Ovis aries: one gene and its partners. The main gene of each other region encodes a partner of the protein of the gene in region 4 in a complex. Links are inferred from orthologs where the notes say so. Each region holds a gene or a part of one and is shown on either strand. Other genes may lie near its edges.

Region 1 (7,590 bases), on a different chromosome or scaffold from region 4:
CTGTACGAAAAGGATCTTCATGACCCGGATAATCACAATGGTGTGATCACTCATCTAGAGCCAGACATCATGGAATGTGAAGTCAAGTGGGCCTTAGAAAGCATCACTACGAACAAATCTAGTAGAGGTGATGGAATTCCAGTAGAGCTATTTCAAATCCTGAAAGATGATGCTGTGAAAGTGCTGCACTCAATATGCCAGCAAATTTGGAAAACTCAGCAGTGGCCACAGGACTGGAAAAGGTCAGTTTTCATTCCAATCCCAAAGAAGGGCAATGCCAAAGAATGCTCAAACTACCGCACAACTGCACTCATCTCACATGCTAGTAAAGTAGTGCTCAAAATTCTCCAAGGCAGGCTTCAGCAATACATGAACCGTGAACTTCCTGATGTTCAAGCTGGTTTTAGAAAAGGCAGAGGAACCAGAGATCAAATCACCAACATCCGCTGGATCATGGAAAAAGCAAGAGAGTTCCAGAGAAACATCTATTTCTGCTTTATTGACTATGCCAAAGCCTTTGACAGTGTGGATCACAAGAAACTGTGGGAAATTCTGAAAGAGATGGGAATACCAGACCACCTAACCTGCCTCTTGAGAAATCTGTATGCAGGCCAGGAAGCAACAGTTAGAACTGGACATGGAACAACAGACTGGTTCCAAATAGGAAAAGGAGTACGTCAAGGCTGTATATTGTCACCCTGCTTATTTCACTTATATGCAGAGTACATCATGAGAAACGCTGGACTGGAAGAAACACAAGCTGGAATCAAGATTCCCGGGAGAAATATCAATCACCTCAGATATGCAGATGACACCACCCTTATGGCAGAAAGTGAAGAGGAGCTAAAAGCCTCTTGATGAAAGTAAAAGAGGAGAGTGAAAAAGTTGGCTTAAAGCTCAACATTCAGAAAACGAAGATCATGGCATCTGGTCCCATCACTTCATGGCAAATAGATGGGGAAACAGTGGAAACAGTGTCAGACTTTATTTTTGGGGGCTCCAAAATCACTGCAGATGGTGACTACAGCCATGAAATTCAAAGACACTTCCTCCTTGGAAGAAAAGTTATGACCAACCTAGATAGCATATTCAAAAGCAGAGACATTACTTTGCCGACTAAGGTCCGTCTAGTCAAAGCTATGGTTTTTCCAGTAGTCATGTATGGATGTGAGAGTTGGACTGTGAAGAAGGCTGAGTGCCGAAGAATTGATGCTTTTGAACTGTGGTGTTGAAGAAGACTCTTGAGAGTCCCTTGGACTGCAAGGAGATCCAACCAGTCCATTCTGAAGGAGATCAGCCCTGGGATTTCTCTGGAAGGAATTATGCTAGAGTTGAAACTCCCGTACTTTGGCCACCTCATGCAAAGAGTTGAGTCATTGGAGAAGACTCTGATGCTGGGAGGGATTGCGGGCAGGAGGAGAAGGGGATGACCGAGGATGAGATGGCTGGATGGCATCACTGACTCAATGGATGCCACTCTGAGTGAACTCCGGGAGTTGATGATGGACAGGGAGGCCTGGCGTGCTGCGATTCATGGGGTCGCAAAGAGTCGGACACAACTGAGCGACTGAACTGAACTGATTATAGGATATATCCAAGGACTTCATGGGAATATAAATAAATTAAAACTTTTTGTTTTGGAAGATGATCACGTTCTTTTGTTTTCAGTTCAGTTCCAGGCCTCCCTGTCCATCACCAACTCCCGGAGTTCACTCAGATTCACACCCATCGAGTCAGTGATGCCATCCAGCCATCTCATCCTCGGTCGTCCCCTTCTCTTCCTGCCCCCAATCCCTCCCAGCATCAGAGTCTTCTCCAATGAGTCAACTCTTCGCATGAGGTGGCCAAAGTACTGGAGTTTCAGCTTCAGCATCATTCCTTCCAAAGAAATCCCAGGGTTGATCTCCTTCAGAATGGACTGGTTGGATCTCCTTGCAGTCCAAGGGACTCTCAAGAGTCTTCTTCAACACCACAGTTCAAAAGCATCAATTCTTCGGCGCTCAGCCTTCTTCGCAGTCCAACTCTCACATCCATATATGACTACTGGAAAAACCATAGCCTTGACTAGACGGGCCTTAGTTGGCAAAGTAATGTCTCTGCTTTTGAATATGCTATCTAGGTTGATCACAACTTTTCTTCCAAGGAGGAAGTGTCTTTGAATTTCATGGCTGTAGTCACCGTCTGCAGTGATTTTGGAGCCCCCCAAAATAAAGTCTGACACAGTTTCTACTGTTTCCCCATCTATTTCCCATGAAGTGATGGGATCGGATGCCATGATCTTCGTTTTCTGAATGTTGAGCTTTAAGCCAACTTTTTCACTCTCCTCTTTCACTTTTATCAAGAGGCTTTTAGTTCCTCTTCGCTTTCTGCCATAAGGGTTGTGTCATCTGCATATCTGAGGTGATTGATATTTTCCCGGCAATCTTGATTCCAGCTTGTGGGTAAGATAAACTATTATTGCTCACAGTTGGTAATCCATACTGTGATGATCTATATGATTTATTAAATTATGCTTGGAATGAACATATTACCATATTTGTGCTGACCATGTTAGTCTGTCTACTAAGAGAGTTCAAAAAAACGCCATAGTTGCGACGATAACACTTTGTTGAATTTAGAACCCAAAGAGACTATTGGTTATTATGTATTATTAAGAAGCACGCCTGTGGTTTTAGGTCTTTGCAATAAAATAAAAGCAGTATGTGTATTATATTTCCTGCCGTAAGATCAGACTACACAACCCTGAACGTTCCCAGCTTTTCTCAGCTATGCTTATGGGAGCTAACTGGAGCTTGAATAGAGATGATTTGTTCCTCAGCCTGGATTCTCTCTGTGCCTGTTGGCTCAGGTGGGATAAATACTGTTGAGAGTCCATAAGGTAGTCGCTGAATTACAGTTAAGTAACAAAGCGTTATCATACTATGACTTGCTCTTCAACATTCTCAAGAGAAATTCCGGTTCTCTAAACGAGTTAGCCCGCACTCGACACAGAAAATGGCAGAAGCCTAGTCTACTCCGACTCCATGGCTTATGATCTGGGTTCGTTTATTTACGCCTTGGACAGGAGCCGGACCGGGAGTTGGAGCGAAGCTGCTTCTCGACGCTCGACTGCGGTTCCCTGAACGATTGCTTGGGCGCTCCTCCTTTGAGGTCTGGGGCGTTCGTCTATTCGGTGATCTCCTGCGCCGTCTTCTCGCTTGATGTCTCCCGAGCGGCGGCGGCGGCGGCGGCGGCGCCGGGTCGAAGGCTGTCTCGTCCGCGAGGCCCCCGCGCTCAGGCTGCTTTCTCCCGCCGGTCGGCGGAGCGGACCCCTCGCTTCCTTCTTGCCTCTCCTTCTAGTGCGCGGCTCAGTCCACCCGTTGGGCTGCAAACCGAGCCCCCGCCCGCCTCGCAGGTAGGCCCAGGAGGAGCCTGGGAGGCCCCGGCCCGGCATCCTTCCGCTGCCGGGTTCGGAAGACCTTGGCGCCGGCGGGTGGGTGGGCGGGAGGGCCGGTCGGCCGCGGAGACTCGGGCAGAGGAGGAGCTACACGGCGGCGGCGTTCGGGGGCGCGGTCGGAGAGGCGGCGGGCAGCGGAGGGAGAAGCCGGAAGGAAGGAGGGATGCTGGTTTTGCCGCCTGGAGTGGCCCGGGAGGGAGGGTTCGTTGGGTCCGGGGAGGGTGTCGGTACCCCCAGTGTTTGGGGGAAGCCGCTTTCCAGGAACGGATAGAGCTTTGCGCGCTTTGGCCTCCCGACCCCCAAAGGCTCCGGGTGTCACGACTCAGTTGTACTGGGGGACACTCTCCAAGTCCGGCCTTCGAAGGGACCCTTGACTAGGTGGAGGCTTGAGGCCGCAGGGCCCTCCGGTTCCTCTGAGCCAAGTGTCACGTTCTCGCCTTTTTTGGGGTAGGGAAACTGAGGTTCATCTGGGACGTGACTTTCCCCGTATCCAGCACAGATCTTTAAATGCACCGTGAGTTCATTTTTTCGTTGTTTACCAGTTCAGTGTGTCCCTCCCGCCCCCCCCCCCCATACTTAACCCGTCATTTTATCCACATAGTGATTTGTCGTTTGATCGTCTCTCTAGTCCCTCCTTCCGAGGAATATAGGTAAATTCCGTCCCTGGAGACTTCAGAAGTAAAGGGAACACGCAGTCTTGCGGCTGCTTTTGCTTTGAAAGTCTGTATCATTTTAGCGGGAGGAGTCATGACAATTTCTTTTTGTTTCTTGATATAAAATTTTGTTTGCTGTCTGGTTTACTTTCGCGTTGATACTTTCTGTCTCCTTCCTCAGCCTGTTTCTCACTGGAAGTCTTTCAACTGTGGTGTTAAGTACTTAATGTCCTGAAGAGGATGGTCAAGATTTTGAAGTCAGATATTTGTCCTGAGAGACTGCTTTCTAGGAAGAATCCAAATAAAACCTAAGGAGTCGCTTTTGTGCCGGTGTTGTGTATTGCATTAGTGACTTAGTTACTGCATATACTAGAGTTTAAAAGGCTATGTGTAGAAATCATTCAAATATTGACATATTTAAATCGAAAGTTTAAATATGGGAACTCCATTATCTTTTCCTTTTCTCTCCTAGCCCGGAAACTTTGGAGACTAAATGTTCTTCCTCGTTTTATTTTCATTGGATTTAGTGGCATGATTCTAATTTGTGTAATTTCTTTGTTGAAAAAAATAATCAACCTAGAGGTCATTCTAGGTTGAATAAGTATTTCCATAGTACAAATTTAGAATCAGTAGGAGTTGGGTTTTCTTAAGGGAGAAGAGACTAAATTTGTAGTCCTTGGAGTGAGACTGTACAAGTCTATGTACTTTAACAAATTTAGACTTCTCACATGACTTTTGGAAGGATTATTGTTTTTTCCTTGTATTATCATTATCATCATCATTTTAGTGAGGTCAGCAGGATTTAAATGTAGGGCCCTTGATCTTGAGTGATTTCCTAATTGCCAGATCCTGAGTGCTCCCTGGAATAGATTAATGAAGAGTCACTAGACTGTCTTTATGGAGAATCTATATTGGGAAGTTAGGCTAATGTGTGTTCTCTGAAAAAGTTTCTATGACAGAAGAGAATTTAATATCAGAGAAAAGAATTTAGAGGGCTTCCCCAGTTCGATCCCTGATCTGGGAAGAACGTCTGGAGAAGTAAATGGCAAACCACTCCCATACTCTTGCCTGGGAAATCCCATGGACTGAGGAGCCTGGTAGGCTACAGTCTATGGGGTTGCAAAAGAGACACAATTTGCTGAACAATGACAATGAAGAATTTAGAGAAGGGAGGGACATATTCCCCTGGAGATTGATAGGTTCTGCATAGAATTTAGAGTTAGTGGCTCCTGATGAATGCTAAATAAGAAATGAAATTCGCTGTAAGTGTCAGGAAGAAATTTTGGGGTATTTTGTTATGCTTCCATGGAAAATAATTAGCAGAGGTTTAAGTTGAGTTGAAGAGGACCAGGAATTTGGTTGTCGTGGAAAGGGGTAGAGCTTCTTATCAGCTTCCCCCCCTGCTTTGTGGTAGACGTTCACTCAACCTTTACCTTTCTCGGTTAAATCTTGTGTTCTGCTAATGTCAGGTCAAGCTCTCTTCTGGCCTTTCTTTTCAGAATTTACAAATTCCGAATGTGGCTGAATTATTCTGTCTTCTCTTTTAGTAAGAAAGTTCTTGGGGATTGTTAAAGATGTGAACTTCTTTGAATGTCTTTTAGAACTTATCCTGAAAGAAGTTATGTATACCACTTGAAAAAGACTAGTTATATATATATCACTTGAAAGCAGTTGGTTATTTTTATTAACAGAATAATAGCTTAGTTTTATACTGTATAATTTTCAAAATATTTTCAAGTTGTGTTAGGTTACTTATGAAACTTTTATCCTTTTGATCACACTCCTTTATGCTGCTTATTAATACTGAATCCAAAACAAACATTTATGGTCTTCAAGGACCTTCATGAATGTTGACAATTTACATTGGTGGTTTAATCTCACTCTTCTCATTTATCTAACTCTTAAAAGACTTGGAAGAAACAGTTTGTTGTTCGTACACTGCGTTCTCTTTTTTAAAGATACTTCTCAGCCCTGATCAAGTTATTTTGGAATGGGATGCAAATCTTTTTGCCCAGTGGTTTGGTTTACCAAAAAAAAAAAAAAACCTAAGGTTTTTTAAGTTCCTTTAATCATAGTCATGCTTGTTTCTTTCTCCAATTGTTCCTCATAAACCCAGAGAGAACTTTCTGTTTCTTGTCATATTTTTTTGTTTGTACGGAAGTGCTGTGGTACCACCTCTGCTGCGGCTTGGGGATATAATTGATGTTTTGTATTTTCAAACCCCTCCTTCCCCCAAGTTAATTAGATCAGGTTTTTTGGGTCCCTTTTTCTCAAAGCTAAAATTAGTTACTGATAGATAAAAATTTTGTGATCAGTTATTGTCAATATATTTATGTGTCAGTAGTATGCGGCAGTGGAGAAGGAAATGGCAGCCCACTCCAGTGTTCTTGCCTGGAGAATCCCAGGGACGGGGGAGCCGGGTGGGCTGCCGTCTTTGGGGTCGCACAGAGTCGGACACGACTGAAGCGACTTAGCAGCAGCAGCAGCAGTATGCGGCAGTCTGCCAAAGCAATGTGGCTGGAAGAAAACAGATTAAGGAATCAGGCGGCCTGGGTTTAAGTCCTGGGTTTACCATGTTGCTAGCTGAGAAATCTTGTACAGACTATTTAAGGAGGCCATAGGGAAGGTTACTTTCCTTTATTGAGCATTACTGTGTCGTGTTCTTTGCAAGTGTTAATCTCGTTTAATGCTCAGAACAGTCCTTGAAGGTACATGTTATTTTCCCCATGGATACTCAGATCACAGAGAAGTAGATGATATGTTCCAGATCACACAGCACATGTGTAGCAGAGGCAGGACTCAAATTCAAGGCTTTGAGCGCTTTTATGTGTCTGTATTGAAAGAATGGGAAAGATAATGCTGCTATTGTAATAACTTCTGTTGATAAAAAGAAGATACACGAAGCTGCTTTGAAAAGATAAGGTGCTCTTCCAATGTTAACTTCTGTGCAGTCTTGCAGCAACAGTGACTTGATGTCGTCTGGGTTCTCAGTCCCCTTGCTTCTTTGAAGGCAGCATTGTGCCTGACAGTCATGGAAAATAGAAGCAACAAACATTAAGTGCCCTGGAGAAGCTTACTAATGTGTTTGTGTCAACGAACATGTCCTTGGAAGTGCGAGGGAGAGAAGTTTTAGGTGCTGCCTGTGACTGCCTCTATTCCAGTTAGTCCTGGCTTGTTTGTGGATGAGTGTAGTCTCTTCTGGCTTGTTCTCTGTCTCTTCCTTTGCTCTTCGGGTTGATAATCTTCACTTCTTCACCTAAACTTTCTCCTTTCTTCACTGAGCATTGTTGTGGTACTGTGTTTTTGTCCTGAGGTATGAAATACTCCAGTCAGATCTTTTGGATCTCTTTCTTGATTGCACCTGTATGTGTTTTTTTTTTTTTTTGCACCTGTATGTTTCAAGCCTTACCTTTTCAGACTTTTATTCATCTAACAAATAATTATGGAAGGCTCATTAGATGCTGGGATACAAAAGTAAGACAGGAGTGTTCCTGACCTGAT
Region 2 (7,343 bases), on a different chromosome or scaffold from region 4:
TTTAAAAAACCACACACAAGAACCCAACAGTGGCAATCTGTAGAGGTGTGATGACTTATTGTTTTGTTATTGTCTGCTTTTTGTTTTGTGGTCTTGGTCTTTCTTTTGCTAAACTATTTTGCTTTTTTATTAAGTGCATATTTAATTTAAAAAACCTCCACCTACTTGTTCTTATAAATAGTAAGGTATATCAACCACAACACTAATATTATGAGTAAAGTCATCAGGAGTATTTATTGAGCACCTGCTGTATACTCAGCACTGTGGGCGGGGCTTTGAAGCACACAGAGCAGTACAGGACTTACTCCCTGCCCTTGAGGGGCTTCCAGTCTAGGTGGAGACAGAAGAAACAGGACGTATGGGAGCCAGGAGAAAACAGTCCAGGCCAGGATGCTACAGGAGCTGGAAGGCATCTGGGCTCAGGCCCACCAAGAGGTTCCGCGCCAGGAAAGACAATGACTCACAGCTCCCAGACCCATATTTGCCCACTTAGCATATCCTATCCACAGCCTCTGTTCCCGCCATCTGACTCCTTCAGCTGTTATTCAAAGTGCAATGAAATGGGGGAAGGGGTGGGGCCAATGGAAAAAGTCCTTGGACGAGTTCCAGGGGCTGGTGTCACACTGTCCCTCCTGGAAAAATCTGCTCCTCACCCACCTACCCCTAACACAGAGAGATCCCCATTCAAGGAGGCCTGCCTGACCACCCAGGACCCCCCACCCCAAGAGCTAAGAGCAGGGGGCAGTCGCTGCTTGAGGTAGAACTGGGGAACCCTATGTCTAGCATGTCCTTTCCTCCACCAGTCCACTGAGTTGGGGGTTAGGGCACCCCCTCAGAGCTGCCACCCAGGGCTGAGAAGATACTAAAGGGAAAGGGCATGGAGGAAGGGAGAGGAGCAGAGAGGGACTGAGAGCCTGGCTGGGAAACAGGGGCCTCTGGGGCTCCTGGAAAAATGCAGGGGACAGGGAAGCCAAACACTGAGATTGGCTCCCCTGAGGATGGGGGTGGGGGGGTGGGAGGCAGGGGTGGTTTGCTACGGGCCCCTACCTTCCCCATGCCTTCACAGGACGGAGGTGGGAATCAAGGGCCAGAAGGGTGTCCAATCCCGCAGCCCCATTTCCAGGCTGTGCCCACTTCAGGGTCACCCTGCCCAACCTTAGAGGGGCAAGGGGAACCCAAAGTTTTGATGATGCCTCCAACTCTGTTGGGCCCCCTTCAAAGTGCTATCTATTTACTTCTCAGATTGTAAGGAATTCAGGTCTGAGAATGCAGGAAAGAGGGGGCGAGACTTCGTAACACCCATCAGATGGCAGGGGGGAGGGAACCAGGCCCCTCCAGAGAGTGCCACCCAGAGGATGGGGGTCACGCCAGCCTCAGAGGAGCGAGGACGAGGAAAGCAAAGGATGCTGCTGCTGCTGCTAAGTCACTTCAGTCGTGTCCGACTCTGTGTGACCCCATAGATGGCAGCCCACCAGGCTCCCCCGTCCCTGGGATTCCCCAGGCAAGAACACTGGAGTGGGTTGCCATTTCCTTCTCCAATGCATGAAAGTGAAAAGTGAAAGTGAAGTTGCTCAGTCGTGTCCAGCTCTTAGCGACCCCATGGACTGCAGCCTACCAGGCTGCTCCGCCCATGGGATTTTCCAGGCAAGAACACTGGAGTGGGTTGCCATTTCCTTCTCCAATGCATGAAAGTGAAAAGTGAAAGTGAAGTTGCTCAGTCGTGTCCAGCTCTTAGCGACCCCATGGACTGCAGCCTACCAGGCTGCTCCGCCCATGGGATTTTCCAGGCAAGAGTGCTGGAGTGGGGTGCCATTGCCTTCTCCGAGCAAAGAATGAGGAGGGTTTAAATAACGGTTCATATAATAAAAATACCTAGCAATCTAATAAGCCTATTTTTTCTGCTAATTTTTTTCTTTTTTAAATAATTCCAGAGGCTGGGGGTGTGGGAAGGGTGGCAGCAAGCAGGGTATGTACAAGAGGAGGCGTTTAAATTAAAACACAAATAATAATTAAGACGCACAAACTGAAGGACCAAGGCAAAAGGTACAGAAGAGGCCTGCAGTGGGCCCCTGTTTCCACGAGGACGTGCTTCCAGCAGCGGGGTTAGGGCTTCCTCTTGGAGCAGATCAGCCTGCGTTTGGAGTGGTAGAAATCTGGGGGGAGAGAACAGATGTCAGCCAGGTCAGGAGGAAGAGGGCCCAGCAGAGCCACCTGCGCAGTGCAACCTGCAGAGGGGCCAGGGACCCCTCCCCAGGGCCCGAGAGACACATTGCCAAGTATAGGGAAGAACTCTGGAAACTTCTAGCCTCTCTCCCGGAGGGCTACATACATACAGGACATCCCCCCACGCTTCACAGACGTGATCAATAACAGACTTTACATGCATGGGCCTGCTTTAAGCCAAGCTGCCCAAATGCAGTGGTCGCTAACCCTAGGCGGCTGTTTAAATTAACTAGCATTAGACTAATAGAAAAATTTAGTTCCTCATGGCAAACACTCAGCAGTGATATGTGGCCAGCGGTACTGGGCATCTGCTTCTTTGCAGAGCCTGATATATCAGAGAGCGTTCTGCATGATGTCTGAGCCATATAAAGGTTAGTTATTATTATTATCATTATTGTTAGTTTTGACCCAGCTGCAAATGTGCTGTGGGATTCTTGGCTGCACTGCTCCAAGCTTCCATTTCCTCACCTATAAAATGAGGATAACGCTGGTACGATGCTCAGAGGATTAAATGAAATGTTTCCGGAAAGACCTTGGTGGGGACTTCCCTGGTGGTCCAGTGGCTAAGACTCCTTGCGCTCAACAGAGGTGGCCTGGGTTCTGTCCTTGCTCAGGGAATTAAGATCCCACAAGCCGTACAGCCAAAATAATAACAGTAATACATTTGTAAAGTAAAAAATAAAAAGACGTTGGCTGAAGGCCTGGCATAGTGTTCAACTGCCAGCCTCACTTATTCCATTTCCCTCAAGCACCTACTATGTGTCACACACCATCCAAGGTGCTGAGGACTCAATTATGAACAAGAGAGATACAGATTTCTTTCTTGTGGAGATGATAGGATTCTATTTGGGAAGATGGACTATATCAAAATATGGAAGTAGCTGTTGATAGTTTAAAAAGTGCCAAAAAGAGAAAAATAGGCTAGGAAGTGCAGGTGAAGGTGTGTATGTATGAAGGGGAAGGCGAGTTAGGTTTGGATAAGGCAGCCAGGAAATTATCATTCATTTACTCTCCATGGTAAATTCAGTGTGGGACCTAAGGCAAACCATTCTACCTCTCAGAGTCCTGTTCCTTTGCCTGTAAAAGGATGCCAAGAATGTCCTATGATATTAGATCACTATAAGGACTAAAAGAAATCTAGACACTTATCAAAGGTCCTGGCACATAGTCAATGTTCCAAATAAATGTCAGCTAATTGGTCTTGGTAGTAGACTTGCTGTGTGACCTCAGGCAAGCCACTTCCCCTCTCTGGGCCTGTTTCCCACCCCTCAGAGCGATGAGTAAGCTGGGCCAGACAGGTCAGCCCTGGCACAGTGAGTTCTGGGAGTCCTAATCCCTTGCCGCCACCTCTGCTCCCGTCCTCACCTGTCATGCTGGTCTGGCGCCGTTTCCGGCCCTGGGAGGGACCAGGCCCACCAGGGGTCCCCTCGGGCCGCTCAGGGGAGCGAGTCACGAGGGTGCAGGACAGCGACAGGTCCAAGTGGTCCTCCTGAGACGTGCCCTGCAGCAGGGCGGATGAGGGGCTCGGCCGCTTGCCCCCTCCCACATCGTCTCGGGGCCCCACGGGCAGGTAGAGCTTGGGCAGGCCGAGGCCCCTCACACGCTCCCAGGCAAAGTCCCCCTCCAGGGGCGTCTCGGTGACAAAGTCGAAGTTCCATCGCTCTCGGGCCTCCTGCACGCAGCTGGCCATGAGGGCGTCGCAGTCCTGGCGCAGCTGCTCGCTGTCCACTGGACCAAAGAGGCAGCGGCAGGCCTTGCTGCTGCGGGGGATCTGATGCGCGTCCCTGGACGGCTCAGACATGGCACCTGTGGCTGGAACACAAGGAAGACCCGGGGCACGTGAGACACTCAGGAAGTCGGACGCTCCCTCTCTGGGCCATGCCACTGCGTAACCTCAGGCGCAGTCTCCTTACTAGAAAGTGAGGTGAGAGGGGCTCTCGGGTTCCTCCCACAGGCTCTCCCAACCTCCACCCACAGAAAGGGTGTGAGGGGCAGAGTCAGTCAGCCTGACACCCCCAGGTCACTGGGGGAGTGGGCAGCTGAAGGGCAAGTTTATGTCAACAAAGGCAAGTTTATTGCAATAGCAGGGATCAGGGTCCTGTTTACCACTGGGTGTTATCAGCTAAAATCAATTTGTTTTTCCCACTGAGGTGTCCCTCATGGGTGTGAATGCCCCCAGGTATGTGTGAATTGTCAGAGTCCAGCAGTTTCCTAACTCCAGGCCTGGCCGGGGAGGTCAATTCCCAAGAAAATGGATGCCTCCTCTCAAATCCCTCCATCTAGATGCTCATGTGGAGTAATCCTGCTCAGTGACTTAAAACTACTCTGGATTTTGGGGTTAAAAGCACCTGGGTTCTAGTCCTCGCTCTGCCACTTCCTACCTCAACTTTCAAAGAGTCACTTCAAGTCCCCCGGCCTCAGTTTCCTCATCTGTAAAATGGGACTGCATACATGTCTAAAGAGTGGGGCTGTAGACGCAGGCTCAAGGAAATGATTGGCGGGCCCCGCCAGGCAAGGCAGATGGAGCAGAGTTCAACGGCTGTATCTTGGTGGTTCAAGGTGAGGGCTTTGGAACCAGGCCACTTGGGTTGGAATCCAGGCTCTGCTGGGCAACCTTCGACAAGTGGCTTAACTTCTCTGGGTTCTGTTTTCCTCCTGTATAAGATGGAGATTTCCATGTGTAGAGTTGTCTCTTGTGTATGTTGGACGAGGGTGTTTGCTGTAACTAGTGCGTTCCCTTGGCAAAACTCCATTTGCCCTGCTTCACTTTGTACTCCAAGGCTAAACTTGCCTGTAACTCCAGGTACCTCCTGAGTTCCTACTTTTACATTCCAGTCGCCTATGATGAAAGGGACATCTATTTCTGGTGTCATTTCTAGAAGGAGATAACAACAGCGACTGTCTCAGAGGCCAGATGTGAGAATTCGCTAAGCGGTTGTAGATAACGCCCTCTGAGCCGTACCAAGTACAGAGAAAGTGTTTGGAGAATATTATTTCTCTCTGCCTTTAGTTCTGGCTGACTCCTCCCCATCACTCCACCTGGGCCACCGCCTCCTTCAGACAGCAGCTGACAGGTGTTGTGGGCTGAGGGCCTTTCCCAAGGATGTCATCAGGCAGGCAGCCTGCGGGTAAGGAGGAGCCAGGCAGGGCAGGGCAGAGCAATGATTTCTCCCAGGCTGAGCCACATCCTGCCAGGTACATCAGGTGACCTGAAGTCTAGACAACCTGGAAGCCCCTGCCCCATTCTGCCTGCATCCAAGGAACCCGTTTTGCAGGCAAAGAAAATTAAAGGCACCGGTCTACCTGGCTCCTCTCCTCCCACTAAAGTGGGAGAGGGAAAACTAAAGGAGAGGGAACACTGAAGGTGAGCCTGCCCATGAGGGGGTGCTGGCACCTCCCTGCCCGGCTCTGGCTTGACTCCAGGTCTGAGCACCTGCATGACTTTAACAGGGACTGGGTTTTCCTGGGGACACGTCCTGATTTGCAGGCTCTGAAGGTGAAAGCCCTGCTGAGGGTCCTCCTGGGGCAAGCAGCCCTGGACCCACACCATACCTACCTGTCCCCACTCCACCTCTCACAGTGAGTGAAGCCCACAGCTCCAAGTCTCAGCACACAGGGGAGGGGAGGGCACTAGATGACCTCTGACCGAGTTTAAAGGGCAGGAGTTTTAAGACTTGCCCTGAACCCACACGGTTAAAAAGATCAATAGCGTCTACTCAAGCTGCCACATACCACATAGAGAGAGGGGTTACACAGCACAGTGGACAAAGCCCATAAATAACCTTTGCTCACTCTCTTCAGGGATAAGGACTGAGACTTATTTACACATTTTATGAGCCAAGGGCTGTTGTAAAAAAGTTTATGGATATTAATTTTCAGAAGAAATGGCTATATCAGCTCTTTTACGGAAGAGGTAACCAAGGCTCAGAGAAATTAAGTAAGTTTCCCAAGGTCACACAGCTCACCAGTGGCACAGTCAGGATTTGAACCCAGCCCCGAATGCCCTGTGTTCTGCATGCTGGTGTTGAACCCTACTCCCTAATTCTGAGATTTCCTCACCAAGAGAGAGGCTCCTTACCACTTGAGGAGCTTTTTCAAAATGTAGATTTGACAGGCCCCTTCTTCCCCACATGATTAAATTCAAGGGCTTGACAGTTCTCCAGATGGGCATGCTTGGGGTGCCAGCCAAGAAGGGACACACAGAAGGGCTTGAACAGACACTACAGATCTCAGGGCTTCACTGGCAAGAGGAGGAACCCTGCTAGGGTTTTATCATGCCTTGGACTTCAACCATATTTTCATTCCCAAATAATCAGTAAGCACTCAGTAAACACTGCAGATCCAATGGGGGCACTATTTTTAAGAGAGGAGTGGGCAAAGACTCAGCATCAGTACCAGAGTAGATTACATTGGGAATCAAAGGCTGGTGAAGACTCATTCCGCGGGAAGGCGGGTTAGCTATTAGCGATGTGGCCAGAAGAGGGCGCCGGTCTCCAGGAAATCACGCGCGGAGGGGGAGCTGCGTGGGCAGAGCTTGGGAGGCCGGCAGCGAGCTGTGATGAGTCAGTTTCCTGCAAAGCGCTACCCGCCCGCCAAAACTTCGCTTCCACTCCCGCTGCACGTCACCCTGGGGTGGGGAGGGGGAGTGGGAGGGGGATCGGGGGCCGCGAACACGTCATGCTGAGCCAGTCAGGCTTCCGAAACGCCCGCCACTATTGGGAAACAGCGCGCTCTCGCGCCGCCTCTTGTGAAACACACGCGCGCACGCGCGTACATACACGCGCACACACACACACACATACACACACAGCACGCACGCAACAAGCGCGCCGAGATCTGGTCCCTCCACCTTATCTCCACGCCCAAAGCAAGGGATGAGTCAGATCCCTGAAAAATAAAAATAGACGGGAGCAACGAAAACAAAACCGCTCTTAAGTCCTCCCCGAAACGCAACGTGGAGGAAGGGGAAGGAGGGAGGCAGGGAGCTGCCCGGGCGCCCTAAAGCACCAAACCCAGTTCTAGGATTCTTGTCCCTACGGGGAAAGCGCAAGTGTCCTCCGAGAGCCCCAGACCAGGCGGACAGGGCGGACGCACTACAGTCCGCGCTGGGCGGTGGCGTC
Region 3 (7,469 bases), on a different chromosome or scaffold from region 4:
GCTACCATATAACGGAATCATCAGAGCTCCCAAATGAGAAAAAAAACTTCATGTAAAAATAAATAGCAATTATCTGCAGCCAGTGTTCAAATTTGGGTGATTTTTTAAATGAAGTATCCGTTTTCATTGAAAGGGACATTACATCTTTAAAGAAAATAATTCAAACCCTTCCCCCAAACTGCTTCTCTTCATGCAAGTCAAATATTTTTGTCCTTGCTCTAAATCGAAGCAAGCTCTTAATACCCACCCCATGCCAATTCCTCAGTACCCCCCAGCCCTCCCTTCCCCAAAGTTTATGTGCTACATAAAAAGTAAAAACTATATACACAGGTAGTACAATGAAGCAAATAAGGAAAAACCTAATTGCACAATGCTACATCCAACGCTTTTAGAGGCAGATGATTTAAGAGTGCCTAAAACTTTAGTGTTAAGTCTGTTGCTGTTCAGTGCTTGTAAAGGATGTCCGTTCTTGGAGTCAGCGATATGTATTCCAAATTTTTAATTTATATCTTCCTTGCTTCATCAAGCAGTGATGTATCTGATAAACAAGGAAACATACTCTTAGTTCTGCAAAAGAAACAAGGAGAAAGAATTAGAAGAAAAGGCACTAAAAAAACATTGCCAATATATTACCGGAATTATTTTGTTAGTTTTAGCTGGGAAATACCTGAGCAACGGGAAAGAACGAACATACTAAAAGCTGGTGACTAGAGTCATCTCCATCCAACATTTCTCTCACTGGCTTTTCACTCTCCCCTGTGCTATAGGCTTTTGTCTAGAACAGCGGTATTCAACAGAGGGTAATTTTGCTGCCTGCCCTCGCCACCCTCCCACCCCCAGGGGGACATTTGGCAATGGCTGGAGACATTTTTGGTTGTCACACTGGGTATGACTGGAGAGGTTTCTACTGACATGTGCTTCAAGAGATCAGGGATGCTGCCAGAACATTCTACAATGCCCGGGACAGCCTCCCTCAACAAAGAATTATTCGGCCCCAAATGTCAGCAGTGCAGAGGTTGAGGAACCCTGGTCTAGAGAATTGGGGTCAAAGATACTGAGAAAGAACAGACATGGGAAAATTCAGAAACCAATAACACTTAAGAGCAGCAGAATTTTCTGTCTGAAAAATAATTGGCAATGATATTTATAAAGGCTCTCCAAAGAAAATTCTATTCACTTTTTTTTTTTCTCAAAATCTTCTAGTCTTAGTCATATGTAGAAATATACACACGAATGCTTATGAATAGGTCCTTACTACGATTTCCTGTATTCTCTGAACTGGCAATATTTACTAACAAGTGCTTCTCGGTAGGTGAGAATGGAGCCAGATCAAAATTCAACAGGTCTGATTTGCTCATCTGACGACTTACGCCACAAGTCACAAACCAAGAGCCGCAGGTGTTAGGGTTACTTCAGAAATCATTTTCATCCAATTTACCTACTTCATATATATAAGCTGTGATGTAGAGGTTTCATAGCACTGTTTTATATAAGCTCTGAAAAATATCACATATATGTAGCCAAGTCCTATATATGACACTGATTTAAAAACACAACAAACTTGAACCTCACCTTCATCCTTCTTTAAAATTTTTACAAATGAGGATTTTAAAAGTTAGTGTAAACATTTCTTAGGATCTCTTTATATGCTAGGCTAGTGAGAGTGGAGAGAGAAAGAAGGACATAGTTATTATAAGTTTACAAACTATGAATATGTGTAGTTTGATCCTTAAGACCAATCCATGTAAAGCTGGGGGCTGATTATTCAAATTAGCTTTTCATATTGATCGTATTTTAGTAAACGGCAAAAATCTCCACTTCTAATGTTGGGGGTACACCTACCCCTGCCAACCCCGATAACTACTCTCCATTTCCTCTACAAGCACCCAGCTTCTCCTGTTATAGCATGATTAGCATACGCATGCTGACGTGTTCCTGGATTGCTTACTCTGGCAGAGTCACTTCTGCTTTGCAACTTCAGTGTTATCAGAAATTCCGCAGGAACCTTAGTATTTTTGAGCCTTCCATTTCAGTTTTACTTTTTTTAAACACACAGGTTCCTTCTCCATCCTCCAAACTTATCAGAAGCCAGAGAGTGTGAGAGCATATGAAAATGATAAAGACAAAAGCAAGTCATATATTTCTGTCACATTTATAAATATTTGATTATCCAGATATGAACCACTTTTTCAGTGAGGAAAAGTGCCTCACTTTTCCCTCGAAGTTTTAATTAAATCATTTATTTGCCATTTTTGCCCATGTAGAGCTCAAAATCTGTTACTGAGTCAACATGGTCCTCTGGGAGATGAATTCTCATGAAGTGGGATGGAGGCAGACCCCTGCTCTTGGTCAGATGGAAAAAGAACCTATTGTTCTGGACATGTTTTGATGGCACCTTCAGGGAACTGACCTTCCTACTCACGGAGCCTTGGTTACAAGAACTTGCCTGGGACACTTGCTCTGATCAGTTGGTGCTTCAAAGGAAAATAATCTCAGGAGGTGAAAACTGGGAAGAACTATAGTACCTCCCCACTGATTCCCAGTCTTCCCCATTCCTACCTTTTTGTCCTCCCAAAGCATAAAACAAAAGCCCCCAAGTTTTCATCGGCCAGCCCCCACTGAGATCGGGTTATCTTGGGGCTTGAAAGCCCACCAGTTCCTGCAACCCAACTGGGGTGTCACTTATTTGCTCCAAGTCATCAACCCACCGAGTGGTTTACGTCTGACGCCTTCTGAGGCCAGGCTTCTTGGGCGTCTGCTCCACTGAACCGGCGTTGGGGGAACCGTCTGAAACATTTTCTTCTGTTCTGTTGGCTCTTTTGTTTTGAGGAGAGGAATCTAAGGGCAAGAGGGAATTTTTAAAAAGAACACACACAAACAATCTTTATTAGAAAAAAACAATGGCCGACAGAAGTGAGCCCAAGAGTCAAGGGACAAAAAACCCACTACCTCCACCCACAATCTTGGGTCCGTCATTCCCAGTGGCCTTTAAGGGCACAAAATGAAGTTGTTTTCACATAACAGAAAGTGTATTTTCTACGCTTCAAAGCTCTCTCTCCAAAGCGAAGAAGGAGGCAGTTGATAAACATCCCAACATTGTCACATACCTACCGCTGTCTAGCTGGGAGGAGCCGCGATGTTTTCAGTTAGAGAAATGATCAGATAACACAATCTCAAGCTTCTGACTTAAAAGTCATAAACAGACAAGCAGGCAACTAAATAAATAGCATGTACTCATGTACCTCAAAGTAGGAAAGTGCGCTCCCCCCACCTCCGCCCCAAAAGCTAAGTCAGAACGCGCTGAAAAGAAAGCTGCGGTTAAAGACCCTCAAGCAGGGAAAGGAGCGCGGCAGACAGAGACAGACATTTTAGGCATCGGAAAGGGTCATTACCATCTGCGGCAGGTCGCTTCCTTATCCCGGGGCACTGCTCCGCTAACCCGGTCTGGCTGTCCGGGGCATCAGTCTTCTGATCGACCAAATGCGTGTCCTCTGGGTTTGCCTGAGACCCAAGTAAAGGCACCGCCGGGCGGGCCCCGCTGGCATCCTGGCCTTCCTGCGCCGGCACCTTGCAGGCGCCTTTGGGTGGCCGCGGGGGTCTGTAGTAGAACTCGGGCAGGTTGCCCTTTTCTACCTCCTGCCACTCGTACTTGCCCTCCAGGGGCTTGTGATTCTGAAAATCAAAATTCCACTTGCGCTGGCTGGCCTCTTCCATGTCTCTGCAATGCTTCTCCAAGTCCCGGGTTAACTCTTCGTGATTGACCGGGCCAAAGAGGTTTCTGCAAGCCGAGGGCTTGGGGTACTCCGCCTGTCTGGCGTCCATCCGCTCCAGGCTCGGGCTCCCGTTAGACACTCGCACGTTTGACATCTTCCTCCCAGGGGGTGGGGTGGGGGTGGGGGGTCTCGGCGACTGAGGCTCTTGCGCGCGCTCTCTCTCTCTCGCCAAACAAAACCGAACAAAACAAAACGCCCCGACCCAGCCCGAGCCCCTCTTTATAAGCCCTGCGCCGGCCCCTGGAGCCAAGAGAAACAAACGCGAGCCGAGTCAGCGCCCGAGCGTCTAGGCGCGCACGGGGCTGGGGGAGGGGGCGAGGGGCAGCCCCCCGGGGCCAGGCAGCCCCGATCCCGGCCGATCAAGCGGGAGGGCGGGGAGCGGAGGGGAGGGGAGCCGAGCGCCGCCGAGACAGGAGGGGGCAGAGCCGCTCCGAGTCCGGGCCGCCGCGAGCCCGCGGGTCCCGCCGCCCGAGCGCCGTCTCCAAACCTTGCGGGCGTCGCGGAGTCGCGGAGCGGCGAGAGAGTGAGCCCAGAGGAAAGCGGGGAGGAAGGAAAAAAAACACCCCCGAAAAGACGAGCCCCCTTTTTGGAGTTGCCCAATATGGCGGTGGAAGGGAGGCTGACGAAGGAGAAGATGATTGACACCGCGAGTCTATTTAAACAGAGGAGGAGATCATTGGTCGCGGCGCCGGGAGCCGCCCCGCCGAGGCTGGCGAGCTCGGCCTTAAGGTGGCCCCGCCGCGCCTCCCCGCCTCCCGAGCGCGCCGCCGCCGCCGCCGAGCGCGCGGCCGGGACCCGGGGCTGGTCGCGTGACTGCGGGAGGCGCACGGCTTGCCAGCAGACCTGCTCCGGCTGGCCTAGGAGAAATTACAAATAAGACAAACGAGCTCGCCAAACGGCCGGGGAGCCGGGGAGGGGCCTGGGCAGCGGGGCCGGCCGGCGGGTGTTCTGATCCCGGGCGCTGCGCGGACCCGCGCGCCACTGCTCCGGAGCCCCGACCTCCCCGGCTCCTCGCCCGGGAAAGCGGGGGAGAGTTCCAAGGTGCTCGGCCGCCGGTGGTGGTACCCTTGGCTGGCGATCTTGTTTGCGCTGCACTCACCGAGCGGGGGATGGGGGGACGCAGGGTGGGAGCTCGGCCCCCTAGCTGGGCTCCCCCCCGGGGGCCCCCAATCGCTCACATGGCGGGGGAGGCGGGGAGCCCCTCGGCCTGGGTGCCTTAAGCTGGAGGTGAGCAGTGGTTAGTTCAGCCTTAACCTAGAAGTCTGCTATTTCTAGGGGAGGTTAGGGGCTTAGGTGAGAAGCCTAGGAGGACGTCTTTCTGTAAATTACCCTGGAATAGATGCAGTCTTTATTATGTATTCTGAACCCAAGGTTTCTCTCAATAAAAAATAAGAAAGGATTGCAAGATCAAAAAGTCAACTGATCTCCCAAGTCCCTAATAAACTTTGTAGCTGTCTCAGACACATTTAGTTTAAAAAAAAAAAAGCGAGGTTAGATCCCTGGCCCAGGTTCTTGCCTCCCAAGTACAGTTCACTGACGTGGGCTGCGTGTGGGAACTCGTCTCCTCTTTGTATTTTTCAATTCTTTGCCGGGTTGTAGCAGTTTCCTCTACCTGAGTCCAGCCGCCAAACACAACAGCTTCTTCCTTCCTCCACCCTTCTCTCCCACCAGACTCAACTTCTTGGAACCCACCCAGAACACCATTCAGATGCAAGTGACTGACGCTTTTAAAGGGCGGCGGATCTTCTAAGAGTGAAAGGAATCGGAAAGTCCGGATTGCGAAGTGATTTCTAAAGCAACCACAACCGTGTCCTCACGTCTGAGATTGTTCGGTTGGTCAGAAAGTTCGTTCGGAGTTTTCCAGGCGATCCTACGGAAAAGCCCAAACGAGCTTTTTGGTCAACCCAGTATTTCGGCATTTCTCTGCTCCCCTTTGCAACTTGACATTTACCTAACTGTGCTCCTGAGCAAGGTGATGGAAGTTAAAACAGGATGGACAGGCTGTTATATCTGAAACAAAGGGTCTTTAACTGCCCTCCCTATCCTTCTTTTGTTCTGGATCAAAGTTACACATTTTACTGGAAAGTAATCTCCGGTTCTAACAGTGCCCAACAGCAATTGTGCACAACAGTTTTCTTAGGCATCTATGCTACAGGTGAGTTTGACATTTAACTTGTTTTCTTAACCCACATAGTATTTGCCCACTTTGTGTGCCTTCCTTGCTTCAGACATTCCAGAATGTAGGAGTTAGGAGGAACCTTGGAAACCCTGTGGTTCAACCTTCTCTTTTAACCATTGAGGAAACTGAGACTCAAGAGAGGTTTCTCTGGGTTATTACCCAGAGTGATTCTCCTATCTATAGTCTGCAGGTCCTCCTCTCCTATAAATGATTCAAAATGGCTCCTTCTCATGCTCTGGGCTGCTTGCAGCTGTTTCCTTGATGTGGCCTGTGGTCCCTGATATTTAAATAGGACTGTCACTGGCCTTTGGTATGACCTTGCACTTAATATGACTAAAATGCAGATTCCAAAGGGGCAGGGTGAGACCCAGAGAGCAGTGAGAGAGACAGTGCTTTCAAAGGCCAGACTTCCTACCTGATGGAGAGAAAATATTTCATCTGGCATCTAAGTAAAAGGTCTCATCTTCTTTATTTTTTAGGTCGAATGCCCCCACTTAATTTACTGAACTGGAGAAGATGGAGAAGAGGGACAGAAAAATTAGGGTAGGTCTCAATACCCTACTCCTGAAATTATAGATTATTGTTGTTGAAATCTTTACACAGTTGTTGGACTACACCAAAATTCTGTATTCTATATGAACATAAATTCAGATGCATAAGTACACAACTACCACATCTATGTAAATGGAGACATTCTAGAGTATTACACCTTGCCACAGATGTTTGATTTTATTCGTGGAATTAATATCTTCCAGAAAAGTAAAAAATGGATATTTTCATCCCCTACGCACCCTGAATATTTCTTTAACTAGTATGTAGGACCACCATTTTGTCGCTTTGTTAATCTTGAAAACCAAACGAGTCACAGTGACGCCACCTTAAGACGTCTGGCTGCCAGCAGAAAGGCTGTGCTTACTCCGACCTTGCTATGATCTAAAGTGTTTTGTTTACAGTCAAGGCACCGGAGAACTGCGGGGCAAATAGTGAGAGGGCAGGCGTCTGCTGTAGTAGCGATGAAGCGTGAAAAAAAAATACGACAGAGTCCCCGAGGGAAGAGAACCCGGAGCTGTGAGCGCCATCCTCCTGTGGAAAGTAGGCGGCGGCTTTAAGAGACTGAGCCGGGAGAATTTCCAATAAACAGCCTAAAGGCGGAGCCTGGGGAGAAGACAGAAAGTTACACTCGCGCTGCTCTGAAAAAGGGGGCTCGGCTGCCCCCAAGACCCAGAATCTCGTCCTGGGTGATGTTTTTGTTGTCAGTTTCCCTCTTGATAGTTTTCTCCTTAGAGCTGAGAAGTGGCCCATAAGCCACCCAAGATTTGTGTGTGTCCTTTAACAGCTTGGGAGAGAGACGAAGACCAATTTTACTTAAAAGAAAACACCTGTGTGGTAGCCGAATGTCCCGGCGGAGCGGCTGAGCAATCTCGCCTCCCAGGTGCAGTTCCTCGCAGGGGGAAGTCAAGCAGCCCCCAAAACTTCTGCGAAGGCGCACGCTTCCTGGCCCCATTGCCCCTCCCACC
Region 4 (7,698 bases):
GTGCACACATGGACACACACGTTAGAAGCAGAGCAAAACCCTACCCGGTGTGTGGGTGGCGTGCCCCAGCACCCCTGGGCACCTAGTCAGGAACCTAGGTCTGCCAGGCATGGACCAGGAAGAGCAGACACCCGCCCCCCTCCCTAGCACCTTTCAAAAGGGACCCCTGCCATGTGGAGGGCTGGGGCACGTACTCATGCCTCCACTTCACAAAACCTGTTTGAGGCTGTAACATGCCCTTCTCACCTCAAGAAAACACCCCCACCTCGGCTTGTGACTCAAGCACACAGCTGTGCCACTCAAGTTCAACAGCTCAGGACCCGCTTTGGGGGGTGCTGCTCCCCGGCCCCCCCAGTGCTGCTGCAGATGAAATGCTGAGTCACCCCGGGCCATCCCCCGCCTTTCACCCCATGTGTGTGCAGGTATCTGTAACTCCAGGCCAGGGGCGCTGGCTGGGCTGGTTCTCAGACAACTGCCAGAGCGCGGGCACGGCCTCTGTGCCCAGGTTCTGCGCTGTCTGCACCCCCTCCCAGGCCACACACCCCACTTCCCAGGGGTCCCTGGAGTAGGGGCGGGGGTGTTCCGGGCTGTCCCAGCCATCCTCGGGGGAGCGCGTGCAGGAACCGTTCCTTGCATTATCTGCGGGAAACTTGGTCGTTTCTCTGAACCACTCTCAGCTCCATAAAAGGCTGCCTGCAAATCTCTGGAGGCTTCTCTTCTCGGAGGCATCCCAGCCAGAGAATGCCTCCCTACCCGCTTGCCGGGCTGGCCCCTGGAGGCCGGGGAGACACGTGTGAGAGCCCCCCCCCACACCATCCCTGCCCAAGGGCGGGTGCTGCGGGGCAGGAGAGCCAGGGGAGGGGGCACCCTCACCCCTCAGATCCATCCAAACTGAGATGCTCTTGGCCTCTCGTCTGCCCCCACCCCGTGGCTCACTTGGCAGGACGACTTCTGAGGGGTCCTTCTTAGAGGGGCTCATGCCTTGAGCAGGCAGGAAAATGGGGCAGCACAATCTCTCCACCTCCCCTAACCTGGAAACCTCAGCCACTAGAACCCCTGGACATGGGGAGGGTGACATCAGATGGTGGGTGGGTGACCCCACCCCTTCTGGGGAAGAGGTGAAAGATGTCAAGTCCTCTTTGGTGGAGCGTGGTCCTCAGGTCGCCCAGAGGGAGCCCCCAATAGGTCTGACTGCTGAGGCCTGGTGAGGGGGAGAGACGGCCCGCAGAAGAGCTGGGCAGGATGGGGCATGGGTCCCTGGTCAGGGTCCCCAGGGGTCCTGGGCCCAGAGCATGGGATCAGTGGGAGGAAGGGGTCACAGGGCTCAGGAGGCAGGGCTGGGAGAAGCAGGAGGCGGCCCCTGTGTCTCCCTGGGTTCTGACTGACTGGCCGCCTGGGGGCTGGGGAGAGGGCCCTGCCAGGGAGGGTCCCCCAGGGATGGTCCAGAGCGGTGCCAGGGGAGTTGTGGGGGGGTGTTCCTGCTGCCAACCGCAGCGGCCTGAGCCCAGGCGCTCTGAAATCGCTCCCAGGGAGAGCAGGGAGCGGAGCCGGAGCCCCTGGCGGGGCCTCAGGCAGCCAAGCGCCTCTGCTGGCCGCCCCCGCGCGAGGGCCGCGGCCTGCGGCCCAGAGCACGTGGTCCAGGCGCTGCCGGCCGGCGCTCCCCACCCCTGAGGCGCCCCTGGCAGGTGGCCCAGCCGGGGAGAAGCCAGGAGGGGGCCCCGGCAGCTCAGGCTCCTTGAGGACATGGGAGGAACGGGTGGGGAGGGGGACGGTGGGGGCTGGACGGCCAAGGTAGACCCCTTTCAGCACAGAGTGACCCCTGCCTGCAGCGGGGAGCAGGAGCTACAGCAGCTGGACACAGGCAGGCTGGCCACCCGCCCCCGCGGCCCCCAGGCACTGGGTGGTAACAGACCAGCCTCTGCTGCCCCCGCCCAGGAGGCAACGCCCCCCTCCCTGGAGCCCTTAAAAGCAGCCCAGCCCTCTCTGCTCCCCAGAACGGGGGACAGAGGAGCGCTTCCAAGAACGGGAGGGGCCCGGGGAAGATGTTCCCGCATCTCCCCCGACGCGGAAAACCGAGGCATGGGCCAAGCAGCTCCTCCCGGGCACCAGCGGCGGGGACCAGCACCCTACCTGTGGCACAGAGGGCAACGAAGGTCTGCGCGTGTTTGCGGATGATCTGCTTGTTCTCCTCGGCCACCGGCATTTTGGAGAGGAAGTGCTCGATGAAGTCGTGCGGGGTCATGGCCGCCAGGTTCCACTTGAGTTTGTTCACCAGGACCAGCTCCATGTGCTGCGGACCCGGGGGAAACGCGTGTCGAGAGGCGCAGGCGCGGACCCCAGTGGAGCAGGGGTCGGAGAGAGGGGATGGGGGTCGCTGGAGGGTCCGGGAAGTGAGGGGGAGAGCGCGCGACCCCACATTCCGTGCAGGGACGGTGCTGCTCGCCAAGGGTCCTACCCTAAACTCAGCCCACCCTGGGCCGGCGGAGACCAGGGGCCCGCCCACACCTGGAACGCGGAGCCGGGTCAACCGCGCGGGCGCCGCCCCGCCGCCGCCGCTGGAGGGCGCGCGCCCCCCACTTTTCGCAACGCTGGGGGCGCAGAGGTGGTGGGAGTCAGAGGGAAAGCGAGGGGGGCGGCGGCGCGGCTGCGGGGCGGCGCGGGGCCCCGCCCGTGCGGCCGCCTTCCTTGGGGGCGAGGGTCTCTCGGCGGCCCGCCGGGGACCCCCGCGCCTCCCCCACCCCGGGGTCCCGCGGCTAACTGGGCGTTCAGGGGCCGTGGCGGGGGTCCCAGGGTTACCAGCAGCTCGTCGGGCCGGATGGAGTTGTCAGTGTAGACGCACAGCTTCTCGGCCGTCAGGGGGATGGTCTCCTTCATCTTCGAGGCCACGAACATGCAGGTGGCCCCCAGCAGCTGCAGGCGGCTCTTTTTCACGGGCTCCAGCGACAGGAAGCGGTCCAGGTAGTTCATGGCCAGCGGGAAGACCTCCTCCTCGCACTTCTGCTCCTCGCAGACCTGCCGGGGGGCACCGGGGGCCGTGACCGCCGCCGCCGCCGCCGCCGCCGGGAGCGCCCGGCCCCTCTGCGGAGACCTCGCGCCCCCCGACCCGGCTCGCGCCAGGGCGGCTGGACTGCGAGGTCTCTGAGCGCGCGGAGGGTCGGGGCAAGGGGCAGCAGAAGCCGCCGCCGCCGCGCCCCTCTTCCCCGGGAGTCCCCAATACTCACCCACCCCGAAACTGAAAGGGAAAGTCCCAGCTAGGCTGGCACAGTGGGGGCGGGAGCGGGCACAGCTGGGCGGCGTGTGTCGCGCGCGGGCTGTGGGTCCCAGGGACCCCGGCCCGCGTGGGTGCTTCGGGAGCCGCCAGACCTGGGGTCGGCAAAAAATGGGGCGCAGGGCCGCGGGGAGGGCCGCGGGGCTGGGCGCCGCGCTCGCAGCGCCTGCGAGACACAAAGGTGGCGTCCCAGGCCGCCGCGCCGCATTTCCCCAGACGTCATCTTTTCAAAAAATATTTAAAAATATAAAAAAATTAAGTGGGTACATAAAAATGCCCTGAAAATGACCCTCAGACTGTCCTTTACCCAGGCCGGGAGTCGGGAGCTCGTTGCGGGCTCAGGGGAGAGCCCCAGGAATTCAAACTCGGGGGCCCCCCTTCCCCCTGGGCGCGGGCGCCGTTTCCTTCTCGCAAGGGCACCACGCCGCACTTTCAAAAATTATTTTAAAATACTTGCGGTGCCCCGGGGAGCCCTCTGAAGGCCTGAAAACGTGCCCCTGGCCCCCAGCTCGCTCCAGACAGGTCCCCCAAGCTGAGATCCCGGCAGATGAGGGTCCATTCCTAGCGTCTTGGGGGCCACGCGACCTTGCAGCCCGGCGTGCTCTCTGGCCCAAGCTGGCCTTGCGGGACGCCCCGGGACCCACTGCTTGAACAAAGGGGCCCCCTTTCCCGAGAGGGGTCCCCCCACAACTACCCGAGCTCTGTCCCCGCGCCCCTCCCGCTGGGTCCCGGTGGCGGCGCGGCCCCTCGCGGCGGCCCCAAGCGCCTGGCCGGCCGCTCCCCGCCCCCACCCTGCCCCCAATTATTAATAAACACTTTTGCTTTGCAATAAAAGAACAAAGATGGCGCATAATACTGGCACGAGCGGCCCTTGCATACGTGTCCATGGATATTAATTTAAAAATCAAATCTATGCCCCCTCCCCCTGGAGCTGGCGGCTCAGCAGCCGCGCGGCCGCAAGAGGAGGCGCAGCGGGGCTGCGCGGTGGAGGTCCCGGCGGGGGCCACAAAGGACGCCCAGCCTGCGGGCCCGCACCCTGAAGCCAACTGGGGTGCCCGGGCAGTGGCTTTCCCCTAGGGTACCCCTCCTCGACCGCCGCCGCCCCCACCCACCCACGAAAGGAATTATCTAATGACCCCACCCCCACTCCCTCCTTGTTCAAAAAAATACCCTGAATATCTATATATTTTGGAACTACGATTCCTAGCAACACTCTGGCAAACTTCAAAGTTTGGGTGGGAGAGAAGGGAGGGTGATGAGTGGCAAAGAAAAGTGGGTTTGCGCAACAAGTCGCAGGAAAGTGCTAAGAGAGCCGCCCGGAGCCCCGCACCTCCAGCATCCAGGTGGCCACGATCTTCCGCATGGACGGCAGGATCTCCTTCTGCACACACTTGAAGTAGGACACCGAGGGCGCGCAGGTCTCCTCCGCCTTGAGCATGGCCCGCAGCACTCGGTCGTTGAGGAGGTTGGCATCGGGGTACGCCCGGCGAATGGTTTCCATCTCGCAGCACAGGAGCTGGTGTGCCATGGTTGGGGGCTCGGCTAGGTGGCCGGGGGGCGGCGATGGGTCCGGGGCTGGGTCGGCTCTCGACTCGGGCTCCTGCTGCCCCGCGCTCCCTCGAGCTCGTCTGCCCCTCGCCGGAGCGCGCGGACGCTGCTGCTCGCTGCTACTGCGCCGACAGCCCTCTGGAGGCTCTAGGACTTTGCAACTTCCAACAAAACTCCCCTGTAGTCCGTGTGACGTTACTGTTGTTAAGCAGAGATCAAAGCCGGGCAGAGAATGGGAGCGGGAAGGAGGGGGGCCGGGCGCAGGGGGAGGGGGCGCGGGCGCCGAGCGTCGGGGAGCGGCGAGGGGCAGAGCCCAAAAGCCATCCCGGAGGCGCCGCGCCTGCACCGCGCGGTGTTGCCCCCGAAGCCGGGTTTTCATAGAAATGCAAACCGTCCTAAGGCTGCCTTTCTCCCCGCCGAGGAAGAGGGGTGCAGGAGCGGGGGTTGGGGGGGGGGTCTGTCCTCCCCGAGCGGGTCCCGCAGGATTTGGGGGGTTGGGTGACGGTGGCTCTGCAGAGGGGGACAACTAGGAGGGCGGGCAGGCCACACGCAGCTGGGGGAGACCGTGTGGAGGGGGACGCTGGGGTTCGGTGACACTCTGAGCCGGGAGAATGGGCGCATTTCCGAGAACGCCACGAGGGCACCCACGGGCGGAGGCAGCCAAGGGATCTTAGCGTCTACGTCTTCTTTCATTTTCATTAACACGTGTAAATTTCAGGAACCATTTACCATTCAGGGACTCAGGGCAGAGCCGACAACCCCGGTGGAGGTTTCATTCCCGCACCGAGGGGGGTCTGTGCAAATGCCGGAGGGGTAACCCCCAAAGTTAAAGGGCTTTCAGCCTAACACGCGCTCGCTCAAAAAATAAAATAAAATAAATGCCCGAAAATTCCAGCAGCAGCCCAAGATGGTGGCCAGCATTTCCTTCGCCCTGTCCTCTTCGCCTGGGGGATCTGCGCACTGTCTTCCTACCTTAGCTAGTCCATTCTTGCGGGGGGCCCCCAACACTTCCCCCCCGCCCCCGCCCTGTGCCGGCAATTTAACAGCTAGAAAAACACTCTGAAAGGAAGGCTGCAAAACAGTGGTCTCTGTCCTGTCTCGTTTTTTTAATTAAAAATTAAGCTAAATCGCTGGAAATATTGGTCGCCTCCCCGCCTGGGAGAAGACCACCGGAAACTTCCTAATTGGCTTTGTTGGGGGTGTGGACCTCTCTTCACCTTTAGAATTTGCCCGGGGGCTGCATTCGAGAGCCTGAGGCGGTTGGCGGGGGTCTGGCAACAATCAGAACAATTACAAGTTAAAGAAATAGGTGTATTGATCTGATGATTTTAAACAAAACCTATATATATTCGTGGCTATACGCGAGTCCCCAATATTAATCGCAAACTTATAAGAATATAAAAGAATATAGTTTCAGAGACTGAAAAGATTCAGTCTCTTTGGTGCTTATTTTTAAAATAAAAGGACATCTTACCCAGTCTTAACATTTTTTTAAAGTTTTTACTCTACCTGCCCCAAATTAAGAACACTGTTCATTAACTTCCCTCTGAATATAGTCTAGTGTCATCAAACCATCTGATACCCTAACGTTAAAGGCTCAAAGAAAACGGATTAAAAAGCCCCCCTCCCCTTCGCAAGGGCGCACACAACAGGACAAGACCCCCTCACTTTTCAGAGCTGATTCTTCCCGCGCCCCTCCCCCGCAGAGAATCAGAATTACTAATATTCCGGGTCCAGGAGGGTAATTACCCTGGGCTCACGCCTCGGGAGGAGCGGATGGCCCGACAAGGGAGCGCCCACCGCCGTGTCTCCCTCCCTGGGCACCCAGGCTCGCGTTGGCCCCCGGCACGCGGGAGCCTCGGAGCATCAGCCCGTGCACGAGGGCGGCTGGGTTGCTTTTCATTCATAAAATCCCGACCCGGCGGCCGCCGGGATGATTTATGGGGTTGCGCGCTACCACCGGGTTGCTTCTGTCCCGGAGGGCGGGAGGCGAAGGGGCCCGAGCCCCGCGTGTGCCCGGACCCGGGCCCGAGGCAGAGTCGCCACGGGGAGGGGCAGCTGGTCGTAACGAGGATCGCCCACTCCGGCGGGACGGACTCCAGGTCCAAGAGGGAGCTTCCCCCTAACCCCGGAGAAAGACGGAGGAAACTGGAATTAGCATGAGCCAATGGGGGCGCGGCGCTGTTACTAGGCGGGCCGGGCAGATCTAGACTAGGAACTTCGTTGATTTCCCCGCTCAGGGACGGGCGCAAAAGTGCAAGCCCGGCTGCCGAGCGTGAAGAGCCGTCCAGGAACCCGCGGGGGGGAGGCGCTGGAATTTGGCGCCTGGTGGGGAGAGCCCGCCGCCCAGCCCCCACCCCAGGGAGCCCAGATCCGCGTTCCTTGGAGAACCGCGGTGGGGGTGGGGGTGGCGGCAACAGCTTCGGGCCTTTAATAAAGGCTGCTTATAGGAGAGCAGGGGGCGCGTTTTATTTTATTTTTTTTGAGAAAGAAAAGCAACTTTTAAAAACTTCACTGCTTAAGGTTTAATTTTGCACGGCCTTGATAAAACCCACCACGAAGCAGGAACTACAAGTTCTGGGCTCATTTACAGTGCTCTGTGCTATTTCTTGGTGACCCTTTGAAACAAAGGGCCAGTGGCTCAACGGGAAACCAAGTTGGCTGGGAAGAAAATGCAAAAGTCACTTAGATCACCTTTTCGCTTTCCTCGCCCCCTGTTCCCTCGCCGAAGTGACCGCAAGCCGAGAGGGACGCCGGCCCCGAGAGGGCCAATTCCGCGGCGGGCGCCTTTGCCACCGTCCCTGGCTGTGGGAACCTTCATTCACGGCGGGGGAAGGGAGCGCGTTCATTCAGGAGCCAGCGCGCCGCGGCGCCGACTCCCG

Evidence for each region. Proteins that work in one complex are often made in the same cells at the same time.
Region 1: the proteins of CCND1 (region 4) and AMBRA1 are in contact, whole or in part, in a cryo-EM structure (PDB 9IVD), measured with the Homo sapiens proteins. The link is inferred for Ovis aries from reciprocal best matches to the Homo sapiens genes CCND1 and AMBRA1. Residues at the interface, in NP_444284.1 of Homo sapiens: Thr286, Pro287, Thr288, Asp289, Val290, Arg291, Val293, Asp294, Ile295; in NP_001354397.1 of Homo sapiens: Arg54, Ser55, Phe57, Val73, His75, Arg96, Thr97, Trp99, Leu116, Ala139, Arg184, Ile945, Asn1012, Asn1029.
Region 2: the proteins of CCND1 (region 4) and CDKN1A are in contact, whole or in part, in a crystal structure (PDB 6P8H), measured with the Homo sapiens proteins. The link is inferred for Ovis aries from reciprocal best matches to the Homo sapiens genes CCND1 and CDKN1A. Residues at the interface, in NP_444284.1 of Homo sapiens: Met56, Ile59, Thr62, Trp63, Glu66, Val67, Glu70, Glu92, Lys95, Lys96, Ser97, Arg98, Leu99, Gln100, Leu101, Ile126, Tyr127, Thr128, Asp129, Ser131, Arg133, Glu136, Gln139, Met140, Leu142, Leu143, Asn146, Lys147; in NP_000380.1 of Homo sapiens: Ser15, Lys16, Ala17, Cys18, Arg19, Arg20, Leu21, Phe22, Gly23, Pro24, Val25, Ser27, Gln29, Leu30, Asp33, Cys34, Asp35, Leu37, Met38, Cys41.
Region 3: the proteins of CCND1 (region 4) and CDKN1B are in contact, whole or in part, in a crystal structure (PDB 6P8F), measured with the Homo sapiens proteins. The link is inferred for Ovis aries from reciprocal best matches to the Homo sapiens genes CCND1 and CDKN1B. Residues at the interface, in NP_444284.1 of Homo sapiens: Met56, Ile59, Val60, Trp63, Glu66, Val67, Glu70, Glu92, Lys95, Lys96, Ser97, Arg98, Leu99, Gln100, Leu101, Ile126, Tyr127, Thr128, Asp129, Ser131, Arg133, Glu136, Gln139, Met140, Leu142, Leu143, Asn146, Lys147; in NP_004055.1 of Homo sapiens: Lys25, Pro26, Ser27, Ala28, Cys29, Arg30, Asn31, Leu32, Phe33, Pro35, Val36, His38, Glu39, Glu40, Leu41, Thr42, Asp44, Leu45, His48, Cys49, Met52.

What each region holds. Positions count from the first base shown.
Region 1 is NC_056068.1:75,485,261-75,492,850, reverse strand, and holds the start of AMBRA1 (activating molecule in BECN1-regulated autophagy protein 1), read left to right. Parts: upstream 1-3,187; 5' UTR 3,188-3,394; intron 3,395-3,554; exon of another isoform or gene 3,555-3,950; intron 3,951-7,590. UniProt on the Homo sapiens protein: Substrate-recognition component of a DCX (DDB1-CUL4-X-box) E3 ubiquitin-protein ligase complex involved in cell cycle control and autophagy.
Region 2 is NC_056073.1:10,677,757-10,685,099, reverse strand, and holds CDKN1A (cyclin-dependent kinase inhibitor 1), read right to left. Parts: upstream 4,025-7,343; coding exon 3,589-4,024; coding exon of another isoform or gene 3,392-3,588; exon of another isoform or gene 2,154-3,391; coding exon 2,104-2,153; downstream 1-2,103. UniProt on the Homo sapiens protein: Plays an important role in controlling cell cycle progression and DNA damage-induced G2 arrest. Involved in p53/TP53 mediated inhibition of cellular proliferation in response to DNA damage.
Region 3 is NC_056056.1:202,778,648-202,786,116, forward strand, and holds the start of CDKN1B (cyclin-dependent kinase inhibitor 1B), read right to left. Parts: upstream 4,404-7,469; 5' UTR 3,868-4,403; coding exon 3,393-3,867; intron 2,839-3,392; coding exon 2,717-2,838; 3' UTR 2,709-2,716; intron 568-2,708; 3' UTR 1-567. UniProt on the Homo sapiens protein: Important regulator of cell cycle progression. Inhibits the kinase activity of CDK2 bound to cyclin A, but has little inhibitory activity on CDK2 bound to SPDYA. Involved in G1 arrest. Potent inhibitor of cyclin E- and cyclin A-CDK2 complexes.
Region 4 is NC_056074.1:43,279,383-43,287,080, reverse strand, and holds the start of CCND1 (G1/S-specific cyclin-D1), read right to left. Parts: upstream 4,957-7,698; 5' UTR 4,797-4,956; coding exon 4,599-4,796; intron 3,013-4,598; coding exon 2,797-3,012; intron 2,291-2,796; coding exon 2,131-2,290; intron 1-2,130. UniProt on the Homo sapiens protein: Regulatory component of the cyclin D1-CDK4 (DC) complex that phosphorylates and inhibits members of the retinoblastoma (RB) protein family including RB1 and regulates the cell-cycle during G(1)/S transition.